Linked DNA regions of Astyanax mexicanus. The protein of the gene in region 3 purifies or fractionates together with the protein of the main gene of each other region. This does not show direct contact. Links are inferred from orthologs where the notes say so. Each region holds a gene or a part of one and is shown on either strand. Other genes may lie near its edges.

Region 1 (7,605 bases), on a different chromosome or scaffold from region 3:
CCAATATGGTAATGCAAATTGTTTGTCTTTAAAACTGATACATGTAAAAACAACTTGGTTCTAATTTCTATGTTCACCAAACAGCCATAATATTAAAACAGCAAACGTATGAAGTAAACATTGAAACATTACAATGATCTCTGAACATGGAGTCCTATCAATTAGTGGGATATAACAGACAGACATGTGAACAGTCAGTTCACAAATAGATAGATGACTGGTTTAGAGCATCTCCAACAAATCAGGTCTTGTGTTGCGATTCCAGTATGCACGGGTGAGAACCCCCCAAAAAAAGTACTCAAGCAGTAAGAGGAGTGACACTCATTGCTGTAGGTAGGGAGAGAAGGATAGACTCCAACACCACAAAAAACTACTGCAGACAAATGTAAAGTTGGCTATTTCTGCATTAGGGAGTTCATCGGTTGGACTATAGTACCTTAAAATATGATTCAAAACTGAACTCAGCATATGTTTATGCCTTGACTACACAAGCTACAGAATACCAAACCTTAATTTTATGATAGATCTGTGTACATAGACTTTGAGTAGTTTTAAAGGAAGAGTTTTAAAGTTGTATGTGTCTACATAACTTCATGTAACACACCAAACCCTTTTAATTCAAATAAGGAAAATATGTTTTTTTTCCATGACATCAGCCTTTATTCTTTTGTTCATAAACATGTTTCTTGTTCGGCCAGTCCCCTGTGAACAGGCCTTTCAAAAGACATTCAGTTTGACAGGCCTGAAGATGGCAGTCACATGACTACTGGAACTCATGAGCTGGTGGCTCCACAGCAAACAGCAACAGATATAGGGCAACTCTACACTAACAGACAAACCTCTTCAGATGGCCAAAAATACAAGAAAAAGTCTAAACATTTAGGTTAATGTTGGGACTGTTTTGTTCCTCATACGTTTATTTCACTAACATTAGCTATCTAATGTTCAACATTTCAAACTACACAAAACTAGATACTCTCCTTTAGCTCTCCAGCTTATCAATTGTAACAGCATATGGTCCTAATAAATCCCTAATAAAACAACATTAGTGTGCTAAACTTTAAAGCTTTGAAACATTTAAAAAGAAGAAAGCTAGCGTTAGCAAGCTGGCTAACGCTAACTCATATGAAGACAAGCAGACCATCACAACATAATGTATAACTAGTCAGTTAGTCAGCTAAGTTAGCTAAGCTAACTAGCCAACTGGACAATAGTCAAGTGCATTAGCAAGCTGTCTGTCTGTCTACGTTTCTTAACAGTATTACCTAGTTAACTAGCTAATTATATAAGCTAGCTAGCTGACCATCTGACTAGCCAACTGGAAAGGTTTTTGGTCAATAGTCAAGTGCATTAGCAAGCTAGCTGTCTATCTTACTAAGCTACGTTTCCTATCTCTATTAGTTTAACTAGTTAACGTTAACTATATAACGTTTATCTAAGCTAGCTAGTTAAGTTAACTATATGTAGGGATGTGGGGAAAAAATAAGAGACCACTTCAGCGTCTCTTTGATTTTGCTATTTATATGTACATGTTTGAGTAAAATGAACAACATTTCTCCCAAATTCCAACTAAAAATATTGTAATTTAGAGCATTTATTAGCAGAAATAGAAAAATGGCTAAAATAACAAAACAATGCAAAGCTTTCAGACCCCAAATGATGCAAATAATTCAAGTTCATATTCATACAGTTTTAAAAGTTCAGTAATCAATATTTGATGTTATACCCCTGGTTTTTAATCACAGTTTTTATGCATCTTGGCATGCTCTCCTCCACCAGTCTTACACACTGCTTTTGGATAACTTTATGCCACTCCCAAGCAGTTCATCTTGGTTTGATGGATTGTGATCATCCATCTTCATCTTCATTATATTCCACAGGTTTTCAATTTGGTAAAAACATAGAAACTCATAATTTTTAAGTGGGCTCTTTTTTTCTAGAGCTGTAAAGCCAATTGGACAGGTTGTGTGGTCAATAGTCAAGTGCATTAGTAAGTTAAGCTGTCTGTCTAACTAATACAATTACGTTAAGCTACTTCTATTAGCTAGTTAGTTTACGTTTCTTAAACCTATCAGTTAGCTAACTATATAAGCTAGCTAGCTAGCCAACTAACTGTCTGACCAGCCAACTTGACAGGTTTTTTGGTCAATAGTCATGTGCCTCAGCTAGCTGTCTGTCTGTCTGTCTGTCTATCAAACTAGCTAGATAAACTATTAGCTCAGTTACCTAACGGACTCCATGAGCTAACAACGTTTTCTAACTCTATCATCTCAACTCTATTAAGCAGTTAGTAAGCGTAGCTAAGTTAGCTAGCTAACAGGTTAACTAGCTAGTTATGTAGGTAGACAGACAAACAGCTAGCTAGCTAATGCACTTAAATATTGACCAAAAACCTTGTCCAGTTGGCTATTCAGATAGCTAGCTAGCTAGCTTATATAGTTAGTCAAGAAGCTAGGTGAACACTGAATGCCCATCTTATGCTGTGTTATTACAGTGGCTGGTGTTATTGTTATATTGGGTCATGCGGTAGTAAGCTAAGCTAGTATGTTTGGCTGTAGCTATGGGTTGAGGGGATGCAGTGTTGGGTTGGTCAAGACATTGAATTTCTCCAGCTACATCACAGTGGGCTCTACACTGGAGATAAGTTAGAGGGAGCTAGGTTAGGTTAGCCAGGCTAACTAGTAAACTGCAGCTGTGAATTCCAACAGGCTGATAGCTAGTTACAGTCATCTGTCCCCAGTTTCCCCACTGATATTTCTCCCCCTGCCACCTCCCCATTCTGCACTGGGACAGGAGGACACTGTTGCACAGCTTAAGGAGCAGGCTAGCCTGTGCTAGCGTTAGCAGTCAGGCTGCACCGCATCAATGGATCACAGGCGGAGGGGCAGCAGCAGCAGCAGTGGCGGACAGGGCAACACGCACACACTCACTCCCTCACACCCTCACTCACACACAGCAGCGCTTTACCTGAACCGCCCGGATCAGCTGCGACTCGATTCCGTCCTTTCTACCGAACTTGTGGTGCCGAGCCTTCCCGACTGCGCTTCCCTCAGTACGGAAAAAAACAGTCAGGACGCCGCCATGTTCGCTCTTCGCACAGAGTGTGCGTCTGCGCATGCGCGGACCTGCCGCCTGTCATGAGGCTGTCAGCTGGTCAGAGTGTGGCAAACGAATGAATCATTGAGCCGATTCTTTGAGCTTAAACTGTAGGAAGGCGCGATCTCTTCTCTAGACTGTATAGCCAACTGTTAACTTATAGTATCCCAGGTGGTTGCTAAGGTGTTGTTAAGTAGTGATTACTGGTAGGTGGTTGCTATCATAACTAAGGTGGTTGCCAAGAGGTTGCTAGGCAGTTGCTATGGTTTAAGGTCTTGCTAGGTGGTTTCTTTGTCAAGCATGGTGGTTGCTAATGAGTTGCAAAGTAGTTGCTAAGTTGGCTTTAAGTGGAGGCTAGGTGGTTGCTAAGCAACTCCCAGGTTTAAAGGCATTTGGCATCATTTCATGTGGTTGCTTAGGTCTTGCTAGCTGGTTCTGGTTTTATGCATGATGGTTGATAACGTGTTGCATAGTAGTAACTTGGTGAACACAGGTGGTTGTTAAGATGCTGTAAAGTGGTGGTTAGCTGGTTGCAATCATATCTGAAGGGGTTGCCCAGGTGTTGCTAGGCAGTTGGTATGGATAAGGTCTTGCTAGTTGGTTTCTTTGTTATGCATGGTGGTTGTGAAAGTGTTGCAAGGTAGTTGCTCAGTTAACCCAGGTGGTTGCTAAGGTGGCTTTAAGTGGAGGCTAGATAGTTGCTAAGCAACTCCCAGGTTTATAGGCATTTGGCATCATATATCGTGTGGTTGCTTAGTCTTGCTAGCTGGTTTCTGGTTTTATGCATGATGGTTGATAACGTGTTGCATAGTAGTAACTTGGGGAACCCAGGTGGTTGCCAAGATGCTGTAAAGTGGTGGTTAGGTGGTTGCAATCATACCTGAGGTGGTTGCCAAGGTGTTGCTAGGCAGTTGCTATGGTTAAGGTCTTGCTAGTTGGTTTCTTTGTTATGCATGGTGGTTGTGAAAGTGTTTCAAGGTAGTTGCTCAGTTAACCCAGGTGGTTGCTAAGCTGGCGTTATGTAGTGGCTGGGCAGGTGCTTTCATATCTGAGGTGGTTGCTAAGGTGTTGTTAAGTTGTGGCTAGGTGGTTGCTAAACAACTGCCTGGTGTCTAGGCAATTGCCGCAATATCCCATGTGGTTGCCAAGTTCCTGCTAGCTGGTTTCTATGATATGCATGACAGTTGCTAATGAGTTGCAAGGTAGTTGCTCAGTTAAACCAGGTGGTTGCTAAGATGGCATTAAGTTGTGGCTAGGTGGTTGCTATGCAACTGCCTGGTTTCTAGGCAGTTGCCATCATATCCCATGTGGTTGCTAAGGTCTTGCCAGCTGGTTTTTATGATATGCATGATGGTTGCTAATGTGTTGCAAGGTAGTTTAACCAGGTGGCTGCTAAGGTGGTGTTATGTGGTGGTTAGGTGGTTCCTATCATGTCTGAGGTGGTTGCCAAATGGTTTTTTGGCAGTTGCTATTGTTAAGGTTTGTAAGCTGGAATCTATGTTATGCATAGTGGTTGCTCAGGTAACCTAGGTGGTTGCTAAGGTAGTGTTAAGTTGTAGTTAGGCAGTTGCTATCATATCTGAGGTAGTTGCAAAGGTGTTGTTAAATGGTGCCCATGTGGTTACTAAGGTTTCTCTTGCTAGTTTCTATGTCATGCCAGGTGTGGAATTGGTAGTCTTTGGTTCTCGCAAGAAGTCGTGTGCTAAACAGCTCTGTATGTTCTCTTGTCCTACAACGTTTTGTTATTTCCTTCATGATCTTGTACTTGTTCATTCTCAACTTATTCATGTTTTTTTGTACTAATTAAAATTGTTTTAGTTTGCCGAATCAATTATTTTAGGCTGTTTCAATGAATTAAATGTCTGATTTACAAACACTTCTCAGAAAGAGGAAGCTCCAGCCCACTGAATGTAGACGAGTTCAAAAAAGGGAAACTGTTATATGTAAAGATGTAGAGTTGCAGGATTTGATAAGTGTGGGAAAAATCAAATTCACTTTCATTTCAGACCTCAACTACTTCAAGGTCGATATCTATCCATCCATCCATCCTATTTTCATCATCAGCTTCTTTTTGGTCAGAGTTGCAGTGGGTCAATGGGCCTACCACACACCCATTCAGTCACACAGTCATGGCTAGGGACAGTTTAACATAACCAATTCAGCTACTTAAGCAGAGGGAAACACCAAACTCCTCACAGACAATAATCAGAAGCCTCTGCCTCAGAATCCAGGCCTCTGAATCAATGTGAAATGCACTCTACCTGCTTTACCTCCTGTCATTGGATTAATTAGTATATGAATTGACTGTACAGGGTGAAGAGTTAATCATGCATGTTCACATATGAAATATTAATAATATTTACATACCTTTTCAAATTTGCCACGGCTAATTTGGTACAGGTATCTTAATACTCTGAATTTCTTTCAATGATGAAAATGCTGTGAAATGCTTAAAAATGTGCACAGATAAGCAAAGCACTGGTGTGCATTTCCTCACATACTCAGCACTGAAAGCACATTTAGAATAATTGACAGCACGTTTCCTCAAGGCTGCATGTTCAGCAATTGAAAAACAGCTATGGTCGTCATTGCGTAGTAAAAGAAACCTCAAGGGAACAGAAAAAGGGAAGGCCCAGCCAGGCCTCGACTGTAATCAGAACTAAATTCAGCACTGTAGATTTATTGACCAACAGCAGTTTACAATAGTGTTAGTTTATATTAGTGCCCTTCTTTATCTGTCTGTTACAATTGTATCCATGCTTTTATTTACAGCTGTAAATTGTGTTCACTTTACAGTGATTTAGAGTGGTAGTTTTCTGCCCACCCATGTCAGCTGTGGGGGGTGTTAGGTTTCATTTTACGGTGGAGGAATTACAACACAACAGTTTCTGTTTAAGTAATTGTACAACTGCTTTCATTTCAGGCCACTTCTGTTAACTTTCTGCCTCATCCACACACAAGCCTAAACACTCAGAGACTGACCTCTAGTGGAAAAATGCATTCAGTGCAGAATTAGAAGGACGGGAGTTAAATAAGGGGCAACATTCCAGTTTCAAAGCTGTACTGCTTAAAATATATATATATATGGTATAAAGTTCTCCAAAAGCAGTGTGTATAACTGGTGGAGAAGAACATGCCAAGATGCATGTAAACTGTGATTAAAAACTAGGGTTATTTCACCAAATATTGATTCCAGAACTCTTAAAACTTTATGAATATAAACTTGTTTTCTTTGCATTATTTGAAGTCTGAAAGCTCTGCATGTTTATTGTCATTTCAGCCATATCTAATTTGCTGCAAATAAATGCTATTAATGACAATATTTCTATTTGACATTTGGGAGAAAGGTTGTTTGTAGTTTAAATAAAACAATGTTTATTTTACATATATCTATAAATAGAAAAATCAGATAAACGGATTCAGAAATTGAAGTGGTCTCTTAATTTTTTCAAGAGCTATATATGTTCTATATAAACATTGAAAGTTTGAGGGGAGTTAAAATAGTTAAAATAGCTGTAACACCTATAAGTATCATGCTGCCATTCTCAATTCTTAATTCTCAATTAATTCGCAGAAAGGAGTAAAAAGCAGTATGACATCATACCATGTGAATGCCTCCTATTTCAAGCTAGATTTCTTAAATTAGACCAGATTCATTCCTTTTATCCTTTTGAAATCCAGTCCAGCATTTTCTGCTGCTATCACTTCCAATACTAATAGCTGTAGGAAATTGGTTCCATTTCTACCTAAAACATTTTAATGACAGCATTAAATGATTTCCTCACATCTCTCTCTTCTACCACATACAATACGTCATAAATACAATAAACAAATTCTAATAAGGACTTTTCTAAACGGAGGGATTTGTATCAACTACAAAACACCTAATGAGGTGAGAAATCCTACTGAGGCCTAATGTGATTAAATGATCACGTACAGTCAATGAACCAACGTACAGCTAAACTGTGGTTTGATTTTGCTCAGGAAGAACAATACAAATAAAAGTCGCTCTTTTTATGATGAAGTCAAGTCCTGACCTGAAATTAATCAAATATATGCAATGTTATGGCTGCAGTAACATCCTGTCAAAGCTGGACATAGCCTCACACAGTTTTAATCTAGCACTTGGGAGTTATTAAAAGTAGAACATTTATATTTGACCACAAGATGGAAAATCTTGGAACAGAATATTAATAATTTTATCTACACTTCTAAATGATCAAATAATCATGTGTTTTAACCTATTAACATGCCTTGTCCCGTATACAGGCTACAGGTGTAGGTGATACAAAACCCTTATTCTCTGCAGTAAAATAACTTATTTACATTCTGAATATTTGAGGGCTTTAAAATCTCCTACAGGACACTTGGAGAAGCTGTCTATTCACTCTGTACTCCATTTAATAATTTCAGATTAGTAACAGAAATTAACCTAAATTTTTATGTTTAAAATTAGACATATAAACTAGACATTTTAAACTGAAGTTCAGGAAAGAGCCAATTTTATGA
Region 2 (7,710 bases), on a different chromosome or scaffold from region 3:
CTGGGACCACTCAACATGGGTGAGGCAGATGTGGAACACTTTCACTCAAGTGAGGATCTCACCTGATCTCACAATGCTCACCAGATCATCAGTAAGTTTCGGCAGAGGCATGCTGGCCAAAATCATGCCAAATAAGTGCTCTGTAAGTTCCTTTTTTTATTCTGAATATCACACCATATGTCATGGTGTCATGCGTCATATGATTAATCACACCACACCACAATCTGTATGCAAAAATCTGTATTAGCTGCATTTAGCAAACAAAAAACTTGGTTTAGCTAGTGACTGAAATCGTTTTCAGTTACAGCAGAATCACAAAACTGTTGATGTGAATTTTACTCAACGTAGAGAAGAATGTTTATGAGACATTAACTAATCCACTTACTGAATTCATTAGATGTAGCACTTTTTAATTTTAATCTGTCGAATGTTACCTACAGGAATTCTAATAATCTTTAGTAAGTCATTGAACTTTTTTATATTTAATGCATTATTTCTTTTTAAAACGAGAATGAGCAGAACAATGATGGATCAGAAAGCTGTGAATGTATTGTTAAACAGTGTGCCAATAAACATTGTGACACATTTGGTTTCTACTTAAAGAAACAAACAGAAGAAGCATGTATTTATAATATATGCCTTTCCCGGTTTTGTGCTGAAACGGGATGTTCAGGTGTGCTACCGTAAACTGCAACTGGGTCAGACTGAACTTTTCCTTTTGTGTTCAGGAGTAACTGAGTCTCAGTGAGTGAGTGAATCTGCATGAATGAGTGAGTGTTGCTGTACAAATATTACATTTGTAAACAATATACTATAAAAATGTGTTAAACGAATTAAATTTTAAAACACATAACTATTAGCTAAAACGTATCTAATTGCATTAGTTATGTATTTAAATGCAGTTGATATCATATAGTATTACAAAAAAATCACACCATATGATGTTTTATGTATTTACCATGACTGTAAGCAATGTGGCTTTATGCTAGCATCATAACATACCATGCTAGCCATGTGTCACACGATATGACAGTGCAAAATGGAACTGAAGCAGAAGTGCTGGATATACTTAATTTTCTGAAAGAATAAAGAGTGATAATTCACCCTGTAACGTTCAGTGTCCTTCTGAGGTGTTGTTCTTCCTCCTGAAAGAAGGAGGATCCCCACTCCCCAAAGGACTCCAAATAATTGCCCGTTTAAAAAAAGAAGTATGACGTCACACCATATATCATTCATTTTTGGGACAAAATGTTTAAGTTGATCGTGGCTTCAAAATATTATGCCCGAACTTTTAGCCAAGCAGACTCATAATAGACACCTGGGTTATTAATATATGATTGATTAAATAGAAAATTAAGTAATTTGCTTGTATTTATTTAAAATCAAAATTTGTAAAATGTGATTGGGACAGTCACGCCATATGAGCTTTTTCTGGTTTGATTGAAAATTGTAATAAATGTTAATTCCATGAGTGCTCTGTAAGTTCATATAAAACAGCACTTTCAAACAATATATTCAGTTTTTGACATATTCTTCTATAATTTACATGTATTTGACACACTGGACCAAAAAAAGGCCACATCATGTCAACCACCCTTAGATACCACAGAACACCTTTAGAGGTCTTGTGGCGTCCATACCTTAAATGGTCAGATCTGTTGTGATGGCACAAGGGGACCTACTCAATATTGGGCAGGTGGTCTGAATGTTACGGCTATATACAGTACTACCATTATACCGCCCAACTCCAATCAGCACTATTAGACATTACATTGTTGAGTTGTGTTATCCTAGATAAATAAGTAAAAAATTTAAAAAACACTGTTTTTAAACAAACCTGAATGGGCCCTCCTTGTTAAGTAAATACTATGGGAAACATTAAGGTGGGCAAAAAAATAGGTCATGTCCAAATATTGTGGGATAAAAAAAGAAAATCCAATCTGCTGAGGGAAAACTCTGACAGCAGGAAAAGAAAGAGCTTGTTTATTGCAAAGGCGTAGAGAAGTGAAACTGATCAGTGGGGTGGTTTAACGCCTAAACTCTTAAACCACTGACAACACGATGGTGAGAAAAGCTTAAGCTGTATTTAGGTTTAATCAGCTTAAACTGTTCTTTAGGAGATATTGCCTTGTTGGCAAATCCACCAAAAATAACTCATATACATATAGAGAAAAGAAAAGTCCACGCTACTCATCAAAAACTGAAAACAAAAAGCTTTTGTACAATAAATTCTACATTAAATAATCATAAAACATCTGCCTCTCTTGTTAATATTTGTCATTTTATGTTCATTTGTTTTTTCATATTTACTCAGACTTGACAGGTCTATGATATTATCATATGAAATGATCAGATTTTATAACCCATCACAGTTAGTTTTGTAGTGCAATCCAATATACATACCCAGTTGAACAAGCTAAATCTTAAACAACTAATTTGCAATGCACGCTCTGTGCCCTGCTACTAAACTCTAATGACAGCCTACCGTCTTCTCCCATCTCTGGAGTACTGGGCCTATCTCTGGCTGCCAGAATCCGGCTGATGCGTTGTGACATGGACAAGAGGATCCCAGAAAACGGGACGCCAGCCTGTGTCTGCGGTCTCTGGAGGATTTCTATGCTAGCCTTGGTCCCAGGTTCCGAGGCAGAGCGCAAATAGGGTACTTTGGTCCGTGACAAGCGAGACCCCTCTGCTTGAACACATTCCAGAAGCACACCAGACCTTGTGATTCTGCTGGGATCAGGGAGGCTGTGTACCCTTGAGCCTTCGAGGTTAGCTGGGAGGGTGCAGCCGCTTCTGCTGGAGAGGGTCTGGCTAAGTGCGGCTCGTCGGGCCTGGTCCAATCTCTGATTTGAGTCCAGGGGCTCGGCAGGAGCTGAATTGGAGCGGCGCTTAAGCCAGGGTCTGCTAAGGACATGCCAGCGCTGGCCACTTTCCTTGCCAGTCAGGTGGTGAGATGGTGTTCTGCTCGCCTCCAGCCGCTCACCCCATATAGTGCTACTTTGAAGACTCATAATCCACAAGAAGACTGACGTTACAGCAACAAAAGGACACAACCACAGAGAGAGTCTGTACCCACTGATTCTAACTGCTATCTAAACACTACAAAATCCAAACAACTCGTGCCTCACTTTCTGAAAAATATATCAAATAATATATACAGCAACATACAGCTTGTCTCCGTTATTAGGTAAGAAGTAGTCCACAGGTTACGGTGTGAGCTACCATTTCCTGCTTTCTGTGTCGTTGTTGTGCTTCCTGGGAGGAAGTGGGGCGTCTTGCACATGCTTCTACACCAATGCCTTTTTACATACATGATTCAATCAGATCGCACAACACACAGTTATGTCCTTTAACCGAAGTTTTCTTAACCTGCTGAAAGTTTTATTATTCAAATGATAACCAGCAGGGATGGAATGTTCCATATCTTGGTTAGATTCAAAAGGTTAATAATAAAACTAAAAAATATTTTTTATCTACAGTGGGCAGATACAGTGAGGTCTCCATACCGTATTCCTTCAGGAAGTACTTACAAAACATTTCAAACTAAACTGTATAACCCATTGTACCAATCACATGCTTTTTTTCTTAGAATGAAACTGGTTTTAACACCACAGTTGTATGCTGTGTACCACAACTAAAACAAAGTTCTACCCAACAATAGAAAATTGTACACCCTACGTGAAAATGGAGAAATTGTTATGCGTTCAGCCGGACATTGACTTTAAAATATATGTATGCACACTGTCAGCATTGCTGCAGAGGCTGAAGAAATGGCAGGTCAGCCTGCAGTACTCAGACTGTACGCCGGACACTGCATCAACTCATTCTGCATCACTGTTGTAGGGAGCCTCTTCTGAAGCTGATGCACAAGAAAGTTTAAAAACATTTTGCTGAAGACAAGCAGTTCAAGAGCACAAAGTACTGGAAATTGTTGCCAAACTTGTTTGGCTCAGATGGCGTCTAGCATGGGCTGGGGCCAGCATGTATTCTGACCTTTTGAAGCAGAGCATGACCCCCTCCCTTCGGAGACTGAGCTGCATGAGAGTTTGCAACATGATAACAACCCCAAACAACATCCCAGACGACCACAGCTTTGCTAAAGAAACTGAAGGTAAAGGTGCTGGACCGGGCAAGCTCCAGCTCTGAAACCTGTGAAGCTCTAGTGAACTCCATGCCCAAGAGAGTTAAGGCAGTGCGGGAAAATAATGATGTACACAAAAAAAATAGAGGTGTGCCAAAAAATCGATTCACATAAGAATCTTGATTCTCATTTACTACGATTCAGAATCGATTTAAAATGTCCCAAAATCGATTCTGAGGGGCGGGTTTTGGACTGATTTTGGGCTGGGTATTTTTGTTGGACCTGGCAACCCGCTTGTCCCTTCAAACCGAGGTCTTCCAGACCCACACAGAGCGTAGTAGGTGTTTGAGAATCACCGGTAAGATGGCAGAACAAGCACTATATTACCTTAGATTAACGTGTAGTTTTAATGTTTTATGGCAGAATGCTTCATAACAAGCATAAAAAAGATCGCTAGTAGTTAGTTTCAGTAACTGTTAGCTAGCTAACAAGCTAACTTTCCAGTTCCACCTTAAATAACGCTACAGGTGGCTGCGGGCTGCAGCATTTAAGGCGGAACGGAAAAATAACAATAAGCTAATCAGAGCTAATTTCAGCTCCTCATCACAGAGGAATTAAGGAATGGACAATATGAATTAATTTCTCCACCTCCTGCCCCCTTTCTGAAGAAATACAACCACCTTAAATTAACTAGTTAATCAGCAGCTGCTCCTGAACTTTAGCGCTCCACTGCTATCATCACATCAGCCCAGCAGCGTCACCTACACACCACCGCTAGTAGCCTGGTAATAAAGCAGTGTTATTTATTATTTATTTATTGTTCATTAACGTCATTGTGATATCCCAGTGATTCCTATGTCACTGAGGACTCACATTCCTGCACATTTTATTGTTTTTGTAACACATTACTTGCTCCAGGACCAGTGTATATTATGGAGGGTTTTTTTTTCAATAAGATTCATAAGCCAGAAGCAGAAATTTTTATAATTCAAATCGTTTTGAATCAAAAATCGATTTTGAATCGAATCGTGGCCCCCAAAATCGGAATCGAATCCAGTTGTAATGTTCCGGATCCAATCTCGGTTCAGATAGTGAGCTTTGGGGCAGGTAAAACACAAAGCACATGGAGCAGATAGGACACTTAGACTCACTCTGGCAGTATTTTACTTAGGCCTACTTATTTATTAGTTCATATTAGATCCTATGCAGCACCAAAGCACTACAATGGTGTTACTTACAGAAATAAAATAAATAGCATTCTCTGGTACAACACAACACACACTCTGATTCTCTATGCTCTCAGCATAGGTGCCTGTGCACTTAAAGGGACAGTGTACACATTACTGAATACTGTTACATATTTTCCCCAGGCCATTTAAATGATCATTATGTGTGCTGAGATTTTTACACGTCCTTTAATCTGATATAATTTAACATGGTTGAGGAATATAAAATAATTTCTAAACAAACAAACTTTTATTTTATATTGAGCTTATACCCCAAGTGCAAAAACACAAAATCTGTAATAAAGCTATGCACTGCACAATCATAAACCGAAATAGACCAAGAACAGTAAGATAATTTACAATGACTTTCCTCTTCTCTTGTATAATTAACAATGTTTAAGAATATAAAATACTTTTAATGATAATGAAAATGTCGACCATGTTTTTTTCAAGACAGTGCTGAAAATGTGTGCTCAAAATACTGTACTGTAATGTTTACAGAAGAAGCTCCTTATTATCCAGAGCTGATTTACCCAATGCAGCTCAGAACCATACGACAGGCTTGTTGCCTATTTTTAATCGTGCTAGAAATTACTTATAATTTTCGAATGCATTTGATCATTTATAAGAAGTTTGCTGCAATCTCATCCTCTCACAGCTGATCACTGAGTCAACCCGTCCAAACCTAAAAGATCCCTCCAAATCTACCTTGATTGATTTAATATTTTCTAACAAAACAGATAAAATCACTGGAGTTTTTGAATTTGGCTTTAGTGATCATTGTCCGATCGGGTGCATTAGAACCAGTTCAAAGATACAAACAGGCTGTCGGATGGTGGTTACAAGAAATTTTAATGAACAAGCTTTTCTTTCTGACTTCTCAGTGAGCAAAATTCACTTAACTTTTGCAAGTACAGATGTGGATGTTGCATTAGAACATTTCAGGAAATCATTCCTTTCAGTGGCAAATAAGCATGCTTCGTACAAAAAACTGTGAAATAGAGACAGATCTAGCCCCTGGTTTACAGGGGAAATTTCCTCACTGCTACAGTCAAGAAATAAAGCCTGGTCAATTTCCAGACGCACAGTGGAATGTGAAAAATGGCTTACTTTAGACAACTGAGAAACAGATGCACCTCTGCAATTACCCTTTGAAAAGCCAAATCAGATTATTTCTCCCTCAAAAACAACTCCCAACAAATCCCAACTAAAATTCTAGTCAATAGTAATTTGATCTCTGACCAGCAAGAACTGTGCAAAGCTTTTAATGTACACTTTGCTGCAGCTGATCAGATATTTAAAAACACTAACTCTGACCTGGCCGTGGATCAGCCTATCATTACTACTACTGCTTCCCAGAAAATCGATATCTTCTCCCTCCAGACCTGCTCTCCATACATAGTAGCTAACGCCCTTTCCTCTATTAATCCTCAGAAAACAATAGGTGAGGACGGTCTGGACCCCTACCTTCTGCGTCTCGCAACCCCAGTTATTTTAGAACATTACATACATTTTTAATCTTTCTATTTTATCTTGCAGAATTCCCCGTATCTGGAAAACAGCTCATGTTATTCCTCTGCATAAAGGAGGAGATGCAGCAGATCTAAATAATTACAGACCAATCTCAAAACTGTCTTGTTTATCTAAAATTTTAGAATCCCTAGTGAATAACCAGCTCAAGTCTTTTCTCTATGAAAACTCTATCCTGTATAACTATCAATCTGGATTTAGAGAAAGACATAGTACCATCTCTGCAACCACACTGGTTTTAAATGATCTATACATGGCCCTAGACAAGAAGAAGTACTGTGCTGCCATTTTGATTGATCTCACTAAAGCTTTTGATACTGTCGATCATGAGCTACTATTAGGTTCTTTACATAAGATTGGTTATAGCAATAATGCAACTCTCTGGGCCCAGGATTACCTTTCTGGCAGGAAGCAATGTGTGTCGCTCTGTAACCATAAATCAGACCTACAGCCCATAACAAATGGAGTGCCCCAGGGCTAAATCCTGGGTCCAGTTTTATTTAATATTTTAATCAATGATCTTGCGGCCTCTAACTTAGACTGCAAGTTACACCTTTATGCAGATGATTCAATCTTATACTGCTCAGCAGATTCTGCACATGCTGCCCTAGAAAAACTTCAACATTCTTTTAACACTCTACAGACTGCTCTATATGAACTCAAGTTGGTTTTAAATGCAAATAAATCCGAATTCATGCTGTTTTCCAGATTTTCAAATATTATTTTAAATTCCAGACCTATTCTGACAGGATCCACCATTGAACAAGTTAGCGAATATAAGTATCTCAGCATCTGGCTCGATAAAAAAAACTTTCTTTTAAATCCCATATTAACAAACTCACCATTAAGTGCAGACAAAAGCTCGGATTT
Region 3 (7,312 bases):
GAGTGTTGTTCCTTCGAGCATCAATGATAAAGAATCTGTGGAAGAGTCTAAAGATGACTTTGAAGAGGAGATGAAGCTTGCTTTGGCTTTGAGTGCTGAGGAAGCAAAGAAACCAAACGAATTTGATCGAGGTGGGTCAGGCTTTCTGTACATGTTTTAGAATTACCCAAGTTTTGTTTTTCTAATTATTTTTAATGTTTTATATTTATTTTTTATTTTGCTAGCTTTACATGCGTGAAAAGTGCCACCAATATGGTATGTTAATTCAGTTTGGTAACTCAGTGAGTTGTTGTGGGAAAATGGTGTAACGAGGGGTGATGAGCACTGTGAGGTGTAGCATGCACAGACACTGTACAGTGTTGAGGAGAACTGAGCTGCTCAGTTAATTTAACACATTTGAACCACTACTTAAAACTGGGCCTGGGCTCCTATTGGTTAAAGGAGAGTTTCAAGAGTAAAATCAAATGTACATCATTACAGGCAGTTTCATCACATTGACTCAAATCAGCAGTTAGGAGGCAATTGTTTAGTCACTGTTTCACTGATCAAGAAATCAGACCTTTTTAATAATCTTTCTCTGCACAGTGTGATTTCATAGGGGTGAATGTGTTTTTATCAGGGCTAGGTAAATGTTGTAGTGTCTTGAAAACCTGCACAGGTTCTTACTACACATATTTGTAAATGTAAGTCATTAGTAATTCCAGTGTAATCACCTTTCAGGTAATGATAATTCTGAATAAATAAATGAGTAAATTAGCTAGCTAACTTATTTTCTGTGTTTTACAGAGATGGAAGAAGCTCTGAAAAGAAGCCTGCAGGACTTTTGATTGCTAAAACCTGCAAAATAGTTCAAACAGTGTTTGACCTGTATGTTTGTTTTTTATGTTGTTAATGTTCTCTGAAGTTTAAATAAAGAACTAACTGACTAAACTGGTTATTTGTCGTCTTCTGATTTTTATTATTATTATTTTAACTGAAATTGATGAGATGAGTGAGTTTAGTTCAGCTGTTAGTTCACCCTAATAGACCACTGCAGCTGTGTGATCATTTTGTAGTTGGCGTCATGTTTATTGCCATATTTGTGGTTCCATGTCTTAAGCTGCATTTGTCAATAACAAAAATAAATGGGCTTTTCAAAAACTCATCTCTATAAATAAATCTGTTCAGAACCCTGTACGTTTTGTTCTGTGTACATTCTGCTCCTAAACCCCGCTGAATCCTCTGAATTATGAGATCAATTAAGAGTCCTAATAACAACAATGCTAGATTTTAACGTGGCTTAATGTACTAAAACAAGGAAAAACTTCTCTCAATCATTCACTACATAAAAAACAATCAGAATATTTATAAGATAAACAAACCACTATAACCCACATTACTGAGCCTGGCTGGGAGTAAACTGGCTGGTTGATTGGCTCTTGAACAACACAGCAAATGTATTTTGTATTTTGCGTTTGCTGGTGTAGCCGGTGTGTTAGTATATCCAGGGAAGTTGACCAGTATGATTACTGCATCTCTAATTAAACATGCTAATAGCACAGTAACTACACTGGTGCTAGAACCTGGTTCTGAAATAAATACTGTGCTGCTTGTTTTAGTGATTTCCTGCTGTAACACTCTCATTCCCTGGTGTTGTGCCAAAGTCCCCTCTTGTTCTGTGTTGCTGTGACATAAGTTCAGTTCAGAGGATTGACTGATGTTCAGGAGCAGAATGTACACAGAATAAAATTTACAGAGTTCTGAACATATTAATTTACCACAGAATGTGACAGAGGAGAGTTTTGGAAAAGCCCATTTTTGGGCCATATAGAAATTTATCTTAGACCAAGAACCCCAAATGTAATCTTTAATAATAATGTCAGATAATAAACTCTGTTGGTAAAGGGTGGTACTAATTTCTGAGGATAAAACTGTGGTGATAATTTCAGATATTAATCTTTGATGATGAACTCTGATAAACCAACCAACTCCTTCAACCAACCAAAACGGGCACATGTCACTCCGCTGCTCATTGAGCTCCACTGGCTACCAGTTGATGCTCGCATCAAATTCAAAGCTCTTACAATCGCCTACAAGGTGATGACAGTACAGGCTCCTTCCTACCCGCACTCACTCCTGAAGGCTTACGCTACCTCCCGGCCGCTGCGCTCCTCCAATGAACGTCGCCTCGCTTTGCCAAACATTCACACAAAGCAATCCAGACTGTTCTCATACAGAGTTCCCCAATGGTGGAACAAACTACCTTCTACTACCAGATCAGGAGAATCTCTTGCTATCTTTAAGAAACTCCTGAAGACAGAGCTCTTCAAAGAGCACTTACTCTCTTAACACCTCTAACACACTAACTACTTCTAACCTCATCTCCTTCTTCCTCTTCTCTACTCCTCTATCCCATTATTTCCCTCTGACCTCCTTAAGGCCCTATCTATAGATGCTTTATTTTTAACTTCTATTATTTTTGTACTTAACCTCTTCTATTATTTGCAACTCAATATTGTAAGTCACTTTGGACAAAAGCGTCTGCCAAATGTTATGTAATGTAATGTAATGTAATGTAATAATCTGAGGTCATGATCTTTGTTAATAATCTGTGGTGATAATCATACATCCATAGGGTAAAATTCATTAATTTTATCTAAGCATAATTTCTTAACAGAATTATACAAATTATGCACCTGATTGTATCGGTATTAATACAAAAATACACAAAACAATTACACATTACAGTTTTATATGTATTTTGTTAATATTCTATTTCTATGTTAATTATGATCATTGTTATATTATAATAGTTATTATTTGTGGAGAGTGCATTTCTCCTGAAAGTTTTGTGAGTGTTAAATAGAGGCAGAGTTTAATAAAGGCAATGTTAAATAAAGTCAGAGTTAAATAGAGGCAGTGTTTAATAAAGGCAGATTCAAAATTAAATAAAGGCAGCGTTAAATAGAGGCAGAGTTAAGCAAAGTCAGTGTTAAATAAAGTCAGCATTAAGTAGAGGCAGTTTAATAAAGGCATGGTTAAAGGCAGAGTTAAATAAAGGCAGCATTAAAAAGAGGCAGAGTTAAAGAAAGGCAGCATTAAAAAGCATTATTAAAATATTAGTTAAATAGAGGCAGTGTTAAATAAAAGGCAGAGTTAAAGGCCATTTTAAATAGAGGCAATGTTAAATAATGCAGAGTTCAATAGAGACAGGGTTAAATAGAGGCAGAGTTAAATAAAGTCAGTGTTGAATAAAGGCAGTGTTAAATCAAAACAGATTTAAATTGAGGCAGTTTTAAATAAAAGCAGAGTTAAATAAAGGCAGCATAAAATAGAGGCAGAGTTAAATAGGGGCAATGTTAAATAAAGGCAGTGTTAAATAAAAGCAAATTTAAACAGAGGCAGTTTAACATAAAGGCAGAGTTAAACAGAAGCAATGTTAAATAAAGGCATAGTTAAAATAAAGGCGCGGATAAAAGCAGATTTAAATAGAGGCAGTTTTAAATAGAGACAGGGTTTAGTAGAGGCGGCGTTAAATAAAAGCAGCTTTAAATAAAGGCAGAGTTCAATAGAGGCAGTTTTTAATAAAGGCAGTCTTAAATAAAGGCAAAGTTCAATAGAGGCCATTGTAAAAAGAGGCAGTGTTAAATAAAGGCAGTAGTAAATAGAGGCAGAGTTGAACAAAGGTAGTGGTAAATAGAGGCAATGTTAGTGTTAACATTGCAAGGCAGTAATAAAATGACGCTGGGTTAAATAGAGGCAGTGTTAAAATCAGTGGCAGAGTTAAATAAAGGCAAAGTTTTAAATAGACAGTTTTAAATAGAGGCAGAGTTAAATAAAGTGAGTGGCAGAGGTAAATAGAGGCAATGTTTAAATAAAGGCAATTTCAAATAAAGGCAGATTTAAATTGAGGCAATTTTAAATAGAGGCAGAGTTAAATAGAGGCAGATTTAAGTTTGAATAAATAAATACATTAAGAGATGGAGCTAAAGCGGCTAATAATTCAGTTTATTCTGCTCTGATCCTCCCCCGCCGCTCAGCGCCCTTCCGTTTCCCCCCGAGGGCGGGAATACCCCGGGAGATCCAGCCCATGTTTGGAGATGTTAGGAGATGTTTGTCCGTCAGAGAAACCGCTAGAAGGAGCCGGAGAGAGGAGACCCCTCAGACCCGCCCGTGTAGAGCCGAGTCTCCGCACTGAGACCCCCTCAGACCCGCCCGTGTAGAGCCGAGTCTCCGCACTGAGAGCCGCGGCCATGGCTCAGGCCAAGATCAGCGCAAAGATCAACGAAGCCGCGAGAAGCGGGAAGTTCAGCCGCACTGTCTCCATGGCGGACCGCTCTCTGCGCCTCCTGGAGAGTCTGGACGATCTGGAAACGAGGTGGGTTTACTTTCGCACCGTAATACTAATAATTCCCATAATACTCTAATAATCTTAATACTCTTACTCTCTCAATACTCCTCTAATACCCATAATACTAAAAAAAAACTCACGTCTCAATACTCCTCTAATACCCATAATACTTTAATACTCTCACACTTTTAATACTCTAATAATCCTAATAGTCTCACACCTTAATACTCATCTAATACCCCTAATAATTTAATACTCACACCTTAATACTACTCTAATACTCTCACACTCTTAATACCTATATAATACTCCTCTAATACCCATAATACTTTAATACTCTCACACCTTAATACTCATCTAATACTCATACTACTAATACTCTTACACTCTCAATACTCCTCTAATACACCTCTAATACTCACAATACCCTAATACTCTTACACTCTTAATACTCCTTTAATACCCATAATACTGTAATACTCATAATAGTCTTACACCCTTAATATTTATAATGCCCATACTACTCTAATACTCCATACTCTCACACTCTTACTACTCTCCTAATACTCGTCTAATACCCATAATACTTTAACACACTTTGAATACTCGTCTAATACCCATAATACTTTAATACTCACACCTTAGTACTCCTCTATTACCCATAATACCTAATATTTTCACACTCTTAATACTCATAATACCCATACCTGTCAAGTTTTAGATTTAAAAATAAGGGATATTTTCCTCTGTCCGCTTAAAGCCGTCCCACCAGCCCAACGAAGGTTCAGTATCTCTTACATTTTAAAACAGGTTTACAAAAAATCTAAAATAACCACATGTGAACCACTTACACACTACAATTAGATTATCAGAATCTGAACATGTTGTGGACATGTTGTGGATATGTCATTCTTTTAATACAGCCAAATTAAAAACCCTTTTCTATATATTTTTTTTATTTAAGATTTCATGTCTTTTTTGTAATAAATGCACTCTTTTATATGATATATTTTTTATTTATTTAATGGATTTAAAATTGAACAAAGAGTGCACAAATTCTGCAAAATGACTGTTGGTGACCTAAAAATGGTATTATGAGCTTTTACTAAAAGGACATGGACCAGATATATTCCATCAGTAAAAATTAGTCCTAAGGGGCCTACACAATAATTTTTAATTAATACTTCTTCCTTTTGATCACTCCACCCCTGATCAGTTCAGTTAATGTCGGTCCTCTCCACATTTCTAGTTAAACTGAGTCACAAGCTGTAATTTTTTTTTATTTTAAAAGGTTTAATCTCTGTGTTTTATTTCGGAGTATTTTTAAGCAGCTATCAGAAAAATCTCATCACAGTTTCCATGATTAGACTACCGTTACCTTTCTTTTAGAAAAATCGCTGCATGTATGTTTTAACATCAGCAGCTCCAACTAGCTGCCTGAACTCACAGCGAGGAGGGCGGGGCTTCCCCACACTGACCCTCCTTGGAAGCTGATTGGCTGTTTCTCCTGAAAGGCGGGACTTTCTCCTTGAACCGGCTCCACGATTGGTTAAGAGACACAGAGCGGTCAGTGCCCTGTATCCTCAATAATATATATTTTTTTATTTTAATAAAATACGGGAAATTTACGGGAAAATACTAATACGGGAGGACGGCGGGAAAGAGGAGTAAAATACGGTAGTTTCCCGGCCAAAACGGGAGACTTGACAGGTATGATAATACCTATACTACTCTAATACCCTCCCACTCTTAATACTCCTCTATTAATCTTACTACTCTAACACTCTTACACTTTTAATACTCTTAATGCTCCTTTAAATATACTCATATTACTCCAATACTCCCATTCCCTTAATACTCCTCTAAAAGCCATAATACTTAAAAAATCTCACACCGCTGATGATAACAGTAGTAGAAGTGTGTGTGTGTGTGTATGTGTGTGTGTGTAAACTCTGTGTAGTAAAGTTTATAACCGGGTCAGATGAACTAAAGCAGTGGAGTTGTGTGGAGTTGTTGACTCTGGCAGAAATGCAGCTGCTGCTCAGTGAGGCTATAAATACGAGCTGCACCAGCAGATCCGTCTTCTTGCTTTAGGATGGATTTTTATTTCTAATAATCATTTTATGAAAATGTTTTTGGTTCTCTTGTTCTCAGTAGAAAAGAATACACTGATTAACCAAATGAAACATTATATGTGTAAATGTAAATATGTAATACATACACAAATAGAGCAAAAGTTTACTGGGGAAAACTCTTTATCTGAAAAGAGGCACTAGTACAGAGGTCACTAACAGGCAACTCAAATGTTGTCCAATGCGGACCCAAACCTTTTAAAATGATTTCATTGTATACGTGCTTTGCGGCGCAGTAAACTCACAGACCAATCATGTGTGGTGTAAGATCACCAAATGCTCTCCTTTGCGGTAAGGAAATAAAGAAATAAATAAACACACTGCTCCTCACGCGGGATCGAACCCGTGTTGTCAGGGTCGCGCAATAGCTCCAGCTATTGAATTGGGACGCGACCGTGAAAAAACGCCTTTATAAGAAGAGGGAGCCCAAGAATGAGCGTAAAAACGAGAACAGGCGGAAACTAATGTGTCACGCCGAACGCAACAGAGAAAGACAGGCAGGTAATATACACAAAATCTGCATTTTTTTATTATTATTATTATAGATATTTTTAATTATAGTTCAAGCAACCTTACAGGATATAGCACTGAATCATAACACAAGTTAAAAATCGGTCCGGACCGGAATTTTCTCTAACTGGACCATACTGAATTCTAATTAAATACCCCTGCTCTAGTACATGTTGGAGCCTCTAGCTTGGATTCAAGATGAGATAAAATGATCGAGCACGGACTCATGCAGGTTCTGTATGGCATTAGGGATGTTCGAAAATATTAATATTATTAATAACATCTGTATTAAAAGATAGTATCACAATATGTTTTGCAATAATGTATCAATTTTCAAAAA
Region 4 (7,894 bases), on a different chromosome or scaffold from region 3:
AGTCTGTTAGCCAACAAAAGTCAAAAAGACAACTTAAAGTCACAAAGAACAAGGAAACTGGACATGTACACTGAAATACAATGTGACTTTGGGTATATCAAATCACAAAATAAATTCTGAAAGGAGAAAACATTAGCTAAGCTGAAAGTCAAAATCAACAGAACAAGAAATCATGAGAGTTCCTTTCTGAATAATCTATTTTTAAACCCCGGTTAATTATTTACATACAACGGCATATGTACAAACCCCCAACCCCCTTACGTTGTTTGGCTAGCTAAAAAAAAAGAAAGTTTAGCAAAAGTAAAAAAGCAAACAAAACATGATGAAAAGGGGAAATGTGTCCTTTTTGAGAGCAGTGGGGAACATTCCTATTCAACCTATTTACACAATAGTTTGAACATTCTTACTTGTGTGATCTTTAGGCACCCTTTTTTAAATGATCAAATTCATTTGTTAAACCTGTTTTCAGTCTGTGAAATGTTTTAATATACTAATGATTGGGAGGCGATTTTTGAGAGTTTGTGTGCTGTTCTACTTTAATATAGTCATTAAATTGTTCAATATAGTAAAGAATTCATTTCAGAAGGTTACAGTGCATGTTTGTTAAAATAACTTAGATGGTCTTATTACTGCAACACTCAATTAACTTAAAATTAAATATAAATGAGGAGAGATAGATAAAGCGAGAGAGAGAGAAATAAAGAGAGACCTTGCCCTCTCTAGTTCATTCTCAGTCTACAGGCCCTTTCTCCCAGTCAACCCAAAACCTTCCATTGTCTCTGAGAGGAAATCGTTCAGCTGTTAAATTTTAAACCATGAGCTTTTCCAAACACCAAATCCACAGTGACCATATGTTTACATCCCCCGACAGATACCTCCCCCATCCATGCTGTAAACACAAGGAGCTTTTGCCTTTATCTTTAGCTTCCAGCTGCAGAGTAAGAATCTTGATGTACAAAGATTCACGGATTGTAACACAAACCGTATTTATATGTAACCACCCTCAACATACATTTAATTTGATTCAACTACCCACTTTTACAAACCCCTCAACTGACACAAACAAGATTATGTCAGAAAGACTTTGTTGGCATTCTTGTTTATAAAAATTAATTGGGGCTCATTGGTTAGAGTGCTGGTTCACTGATAACAAAGTTGAGGATTTCATACCCAGGTCTAGCCCACTACCACTGTTAAGCACTTGAACCCCCTGTTCCATTAGCACCGGGACATAGCCTGCACTCTGACCCGGGTTTGGCGGCTGTTAAACCATTACTGCTTGAGCAAAGGCTGCCACCTCTGTGGGCATGCGTTTTCACAAAATCACTGTGTGTGTGTGTGTGTGTGTGTGTGTGTGTGTGTGTGTATGTGTGTGTTTGTATGTGTGTGTTTGTATGTGTGTGTCTGTGTCTTCTGAGTGTACTTACTGATGTGTGTATTTACTGCACGGATGCCCAACACAAGTATATGTTTGTCTTGCCAAAAAGTTATTCCAGAAGGTTGAAGTGTCTAGCTTCATTACAGCTTTTGAACAATAAATGCTCTACATTGTATGAGCTTGTAGGCACAATAAAACTAATAAATAATAAAACTCATAACTAACTAACTAACTAACTAATAAATAATTCAGAAAATAATTAATATTAAATGTTTATTTTTGGACTATCAATCCATTCTATCAAGTTGCATGTGGGAACTTCATCAGCAACTACAGGGAGGGCATTTGTTTGCTGTATTGTATAGTTTTATGATGAGACTAACGTTTCTAAACAATTAATCTGGAGGCACTGTATCTAGCTATATAGACTCAGTAAACCAGGAAAAATAGTTATTTGTTGTTTATTATACTTTAGTATTAGTATGAGCACTTTATACAATCCATGGTAGGTATCTAAAAGTAAGGATCTCTACATTTTCTGAATTGTTTTATGTTTTCTGGGGAGATCTACCAACCTTCCATTTTATTAATCTTCTTATCTTCTTTTTCCAAGTCAGGGTTGTGGTGGTCCAGAGCATACCGATGATCATTTGGTACAAAGTAGGAATACCTGCTGAACAGGGTGTCAGTTCATCACACTCCAGTCCCTTGCAACCTTTCTGGAAAATACATACACAAAACATTTAGTACAGCCTATACATACCCACCATAAATACACACGAGCACCTGCAACCAAAGCAAATTTGTACAGACATAAACTTGGTTCTTATGGTGTAACAAAACACATGCCATCTTATTAACTGTATGGTAGCCTATGTACAAGGTACAGGCTAGCATACAACAGAAAACACCACACAGACCCAACTCAATATCTTAGCCAAAAAAATCCGACTCATAAAGGGCAGGCTAAGCCCCAAGGAGATCTGGCCCCCCCCCTTCTGTCAGTGTTGAACTCTGCCCTCAATCTTCAAAGTCACAGCCCCTTTCATGTGGACTACTCCACCTTCCACCTATACCCACCCAGGATGGCAAGGTCTGCACATAACAAACACCAAGCCCTCATCGCTTGTAGCCATAATTTGCCCAAATCTCTGTCTCGACTGCAAAATGACCACTTAGATGGAGTGTTTCCACAGCCTATAAAAGTACACCGCATTTTGGTAACGCTCGAGAACTCCTTACAGTTTCAAGTATTTCTGCAAAAATGTGTTCGGAACATGATTATTTATCACAAAAACACAACTAAATACAAATGATTTATTGAGCAAAATGACGTACCATACTCCTTTTAAGTCCATTCACAGCATTTTTATATTTTAGAACTGATCATGCTTTAACCAATTCTTTGTAGACTAATTTGTGTGCTTCAGGTCATTGCATTGCTGCATGACCCACTTATAGATAGGCCACTCCACTGAATGTGTGCTATTTGCTTGTTGTAACTCTTCCAAATTAAACTTATTTATCTTTATTATATCTTTTATATAACTTCTCAAAAGTTTTGCAAAACTAAGATATGTAATTAAAAACAATAAAAACCACTTAACACTGAAAAAATAGTATTTGTTACCTGTTGCCATTCTTTAACTATAAACTACCATGAAATATAATTATTAAAATACTTTTGCATAGTTGTGTGACTCTGAACCCCATCTATCCTTTAAAAATAGTTTTCATAATAAATCCATAATATTAAAGTTACATATTTTATTTGTGTTTCTGGGTTTCACTTATTCCTACAACAGGATTTCACAGCTACAACAGGAAGTTACATCATCTGGTTCTTCTGAAGATCATGGGAAGACCAAAATTAAGTTCCCATATTTGTTTTTCTGTATATTTAATCTTATTGTAACTATGACTGAAGAAGTCAATCTCAACATTCATTCATGTTACTTGAATTAATTTTTAGATCTTTTTGTTTATTTTTTAAAATATAAATTATAGGAAAATCACTAGAATATGCTCAGTGTGCTCATGCTATTATCATAGCCACCATTTAGTTATTTTTCATATATTTTTTTAATTCTATGCTAAAAACTCATTCCTGTTACTTTCAGTCCTGTTACTCAAAATATAAAAAGTAATAGGAATAAGTGCCAGTAACAGGAGTGAGTTCCAGTAACAGGAGTGAGTATTGTCCCCTGGTTAATTTAATTTCTGTTTCGTTTATCATTTATCCATTTGTTTAATAAATTGCATGATAATAAATTTGATCAATTTCAGTACATTTACATGTTTTGAATAGTTAAATATATGTGTTGTTAAATTAAGAGTTGAAATAAAAGATTAAAAAATATGTTTAATTTGGAAGAATTACAACAAGCAAATGGCACCCATTCGGTGAAATGGCTTATTGTCATTATTAATATATGCTGGAGAGATGCCTGTAGGTCCTTAAGGAGATATCTGCACATTTTTAAAGCTCACATTTAATTACTTTTAAGACATTTTTAATACCTCTCACAAGAAAAAATAATACTATTACTGTAGCAAAAATGACAAATTAGGTGATAGTATACAAAAAGTTTTACTGAAGTGAAATAAAAAAAAAAAATCAGTCCACCTTAGGGAACATTACTGACCTTCTGTTAGCAAAAATTATTCCAAATAAGTATCGAATAAACATAAAAGTGTGCTGTTAAGGGAACTCGACAAAACAGCCTTTTAATTACTCACTACTTTCCCAAAAGCACTGGCAGAATAAGTGGAATATTCCCTATAGATCACTATTTGCATTTTATATAATAAACAAACAAAAACATGATTAAAATTGTTAGACATTTTAACTGGCTTAAACGGCACATCAATTAATAAACAATTCACATGCCTATGTACACTATAATTAGTTAATTGATTAAATAAAAAGAAGTAGTCATGAATAAGAAGTACAAAACAGCCTGTGATTATATCTTTGTGTTTTGCAGTTAATCGTGTTTTTATTTCATGGTTATTTAGACATGCAATTAATTCAATCATTCCTTACTTTTCCTCCATATAGTTGAATGCCTCCCCTCCTAAACGTTCGTGCATTTAAAGACATTTTTAGACCTTGAATATGTAAAACTAAGTTTAAGTCATTTTAAGACTTAGGAGTCCATTGTGACTTTGCAGAGTAAATATGGATAACTTCTAAAGTCCAGTTTAACAGTATTAAGCCTCTAAACAAACCCAAGCCAACAGAATAATATATAATGTATTTTCTTTCAGCTATTCACCAGTGTGAGGCCTGTGTTCTGCAGCTCCACCAGTCAGAAAAGGCCAAAAACTCATACGTATACACACAGCCCCCCTAACGTGATGCAAACACGTGCAAAAACACACAGGGTTTACGTAAAGTCTGTATTGGACCAATGAGGAGCTCGGGCTGAGAGTAGGAAGCCGTGAGGCTGCGTCGTTTTTTCACTGCTGTTGCTGTTTTTGTCCGTGGAGGAGAGAGAGAGCAAGAGCGAGAAGAAAAGAGAAGGACAGAAAGAGCGGACAGATATCTCACCAAACCCGACTTCTTTAAGAAGAATAACAATGAAAAACAACTCCAACGTCCCCGCGTTCCTCACCAAGCTGTGGACCCTGGTGGAAGACTCCGACACCAATGAGTTCATCTGCTGGAGTCAGGTATAGACCCCTCTATGTCTGCTCGGATCCATTATAACCTAGCACAGCTAGCTATAGCTAATCTAATGTAGCCGTTAGCCAGCCTAATGCTACACACACACTAACTAACTAACGCTAACTAGCTTAGCTGTGTATCAGCTTGTTTAGCTAGCTTACAGAGCCCGGTAGCTATGGTAACTGTGCTAGCAATATCTATACGGGTTTTAAACGTTTGCCTTATTAGCATAACGGTAAACGTGGCGTTTAAATGGTTTAGGTCAGTTTAGGTCACTCCTGCTACTGCTGTAGGTTTACTACTTAACTAGTTAGCTAACGCTAGGTTAGCTAGAGCTCTGTGAATTAATCCTTTAGCTAGTTGCTCTTTACATGCAGCTAGTAAGCTAACCTAGTTAGCTATTTGTCTATGGGACGAATTGCATTTTCTTGTGAGTCTCTATGGATATAGGTTAACCATACCTGTCAAGTTTTAGATTTAAAATAAGGGATATTTTCCTCTGTCCTCTTAAAGCCGTCCCACCAGCCCAACGAAGGTTCAGTATCCCTTACATTTTAAGACACGTTTACAAAAAATCTAAAATAACCACATGTGAACCACTTACACACTACAATTAGATTATCAGAATCTGAAATGTTGTGGACATTCCTACATATGTCATTCTTTTAATACAGCCAAATTAAAAATCCTTTTCTAGATATAAAAAAGTTAAGATTTCATGTCTTTTTTTGCCATAAATGCACTCTTTTATATTATATATTTTTTATTTATTTAATAGATTTAAAATTGAACAAAGGGTGCACAAATTCTGCAAAATGACTGTATGTGACCTAAAAATAGTATTATGAGCCTTTACTAAGTGTAGTTGTCCTAAGTGGCCTACACAATTAATAATTTTTAATTAATACTTCTTTCTTTTGATTACTCAACCCCTGATCAGTTCAGTTAATTTCGGTCCTCTCCACATTTCTAGTTAAACTGAGTCACAAGCTGTTAACTTTTTATTTTAAAAGGTTTAACCTGTGTGTTTTATTTCGGAGACGAGTATTTTTAAGCAGCTATCAGAGAAATTTCATCACAGTTTACATGATTAGCTTACCCTTACCTTTCTTTAAAAAAAATCGCTGAATATCCAGATCTGTTTTAACATCAGCTGCTCCGACTAGCTTGAACTCACAGCGACTAGGGGCTTCACCACACTGACTCTCCTTTGCAAGCTGATTGGCTGTTTCTCCTGAAAGGCGGGACTTTCTCCTTGAACCGGCTCCACGATTGGTTAAGAGACAGCGCGGTCAGTGCCCTGTCTCCTCAATAATATATATATTTTTAATCTTAATATAATACGGGAAATTTACGGGAAAATACTAATACGGGAGGACGGAGGGAAAGAGGATTAAAATACGGTAGTTTCCCGGCGGGAGACTTGACAGGTATGATGTTAACAAACTTTGATTAATACATTTAGTTTTTGACTTTTGATAACAAGCTGATCATTTGAAACAGGTGTTTTAGATCAAGGAAGCACACAAAGCCACCACCACCTTTTCACATTTATATATTAGTACCTGTTTCTAAATTAGCCACATCTTGCCATTATCCTTTATGTTCCCATCACCTTTTCACATTCATAAATTAGTACCTGTTTCTAGGGCTGCAACGATTAGTCGATAAAATCAACAATTTTGAGTACTAAAATTTGTCGACTACAAAAACTGTCTCCAAAAGTGCCCAAACACAACAGATTACGCATTTCCCCATTATATATCCGTACTTTCCGTGTTTAAACAACATCTAGACATTTAAATGCCGTTTAAATCTCATGCTCAGCTGTTTCTAATGTTAATGTCAATGCTACAATGCTACAGTGAATGTGTGCTGCAATCAAAGCTAAAAGTGGTCCAATCAAATATTGGAGTGTGTGACCTTTTTTTTTTGGCCAGGCGGCAGTGTAGCTTAGCTTTAGCATTTTTTTATGACCCAGTTACATGCCTAGCTAGCTACATAACTAGGAATTCAACAGTAGAAGATTTGTTACTACAACTGTAGGTTATAAGCTAGTTTAACCGACATAGATAGCTATGATACATTACAAGCATTACAACCTAGCTATTATAACTACTTTAGTAAAGTTTTCCATTAGTTAAATCTCTTTTGAATTGCTGGCTATACAGTCAGTGCATTTAAACAGTCAGAAAAGTGGTGTTTTGTGTTTGTAACTGTTTTAACAGGTGTTTCCTTGTGTTATTAATTTTGTTATAGTGCCAGTGCTTTATTATATATACAGTGAGTCCAAGAAGTATTTGATCCCTTGCTGATTTTCTTCGTTGGCCCACTAATAAAGACATGATCATTCTATACGTTTAATGGTAGATGTATTCTTACATGGAGAGACAGAATATTAAAAAGAAAATCCAGAAAATAAATCTAAGGAATATATATTAATTGATTTTTATTTCATGGAGTGAAATAAGTATTTGATCCCTTAGTATTCATTAGCAGTTCTGGCTTTTACAGACCAGTTAGACACTCCCAATCAACTTGTTACCTGACCTGAAGCCACCTGTTCTCACTAATCACTTGTGTGAAAAATACCTGTCCACAGAATCAGACAGATCACACAGATTTCAAGTCTCCAACATGGGTAAAACCAAAGAACTGTCACAGGACCTCAGAGTCAGAATTGTTGACCTTCACAAAGCTGGAATGGGCTACACAAAGATTAGTAAGGTGTTGGATGTGAAAGTAACAACTATTGGTGCAATTATCAGAAAGTTTAAAGAGTATAACATGACAATCAACAGACCTCGGCCCGGTGCTCCAAAGAAGATTTCGCCTCGTGGGGTGGC

What was found.
Region 1: the proteins of bag2 (region 3) and dnaJ homolog subfamily C member 13 purify together in Homo sapiens (affinity purification with mass spectrometry; 3 studies listed by BioGRID and IntAct, with this or other methods). This does not show direct contact. The link is inferred for Astyanax mexicanus from reciprocal best matches to the Homo sapiens genes BAG2 and DNAJC13.
Region 2: the proteins of bag2 (region 3) and rasal2 purify together in Homo sapiens (affinity purification with mass spectrometry; 3 studies listed by BioGRID and IntAct, with this or other methods). This does not show direct contact. The link is inferred for Astyanax mexicanus from reciprocal best matches to the Homo sapiens genes BAG2 and RASAL2.
Region 4: the proteins of bag2 (region 3) and hsf2 purify together in Homo sapiens (affinity purification with mass spectrometry; 4 studies listed by BioGRID and IntAct, with this or other methods). This does not show direct contact. The link is inferred for Astyanax mexicanus from reciprocal best matches to the Homo sapiens genes BAG2 and HSF2.

The regions. Positions count from the first base shown.
Region 1 is NC_064408.1:105,172,193-105,179,797, reverse strand, and holds the start of dnaJ homolog subfamily C member 13, read right to left. Parts: upstream 3,117-7,605; 5' UTR 2,968-3,116; intron 1-2,967.
Region 2 is NC_064415.1:45,565,593-45,573,302, reverse strand, and holds the start of rasal2 (ras GTPase-activating protein nGAP), read right to left. Parts: upstream 3,237-7,710; 5' UTR 3,015-3,236; coding exon 2,486-3,014; intron 1-2,485. UniProt on the Homo sapiens protein: Inhibitory regulator of the Ras-cyclic AMP pathway.
Region 3 is NC_064414.1:16,372,493-16,379,804, forward strand, and holds the start of bag2 (BAG family molecular chaperone regulator 2), read left to right. Parts: upstream 1-4,039; 5' UTR 4,040-4,232; coding exon 4,233-4,357; intron 4,358-7,312. Other genes in the region: E3 SUMO-protein ligase ZNF451, read left to right, coding at 1-131, 787-827. UniProt on the Homo sapiens protein: Co-chaperone for HSP70 and HSC70 chaperone proteins. Acts as a nucleotide-exchange factor (NEF) promoting the release of ADP from the HSP70 and HSC70 proteins thereby triggering client/substrate protein release.
Region 4 is NC_064408.1:82,018,517-82,026,410, forward strand, and holds the start of hsf2 (heat shock factor protein 2), read left to right. Parts: upstream 1-4,809; 5' UTR 4,810-4,960; coding exon 4,961-5,053; intron 5,054-7,894. UniProt on the Homo sapiens protein: DNA-binding protein that specifically binds heat shock promoter elements (HSE) and activates transcription. In higher eukaryotes, HSF is unable to bind to the HSE unless the cells are heat shocked.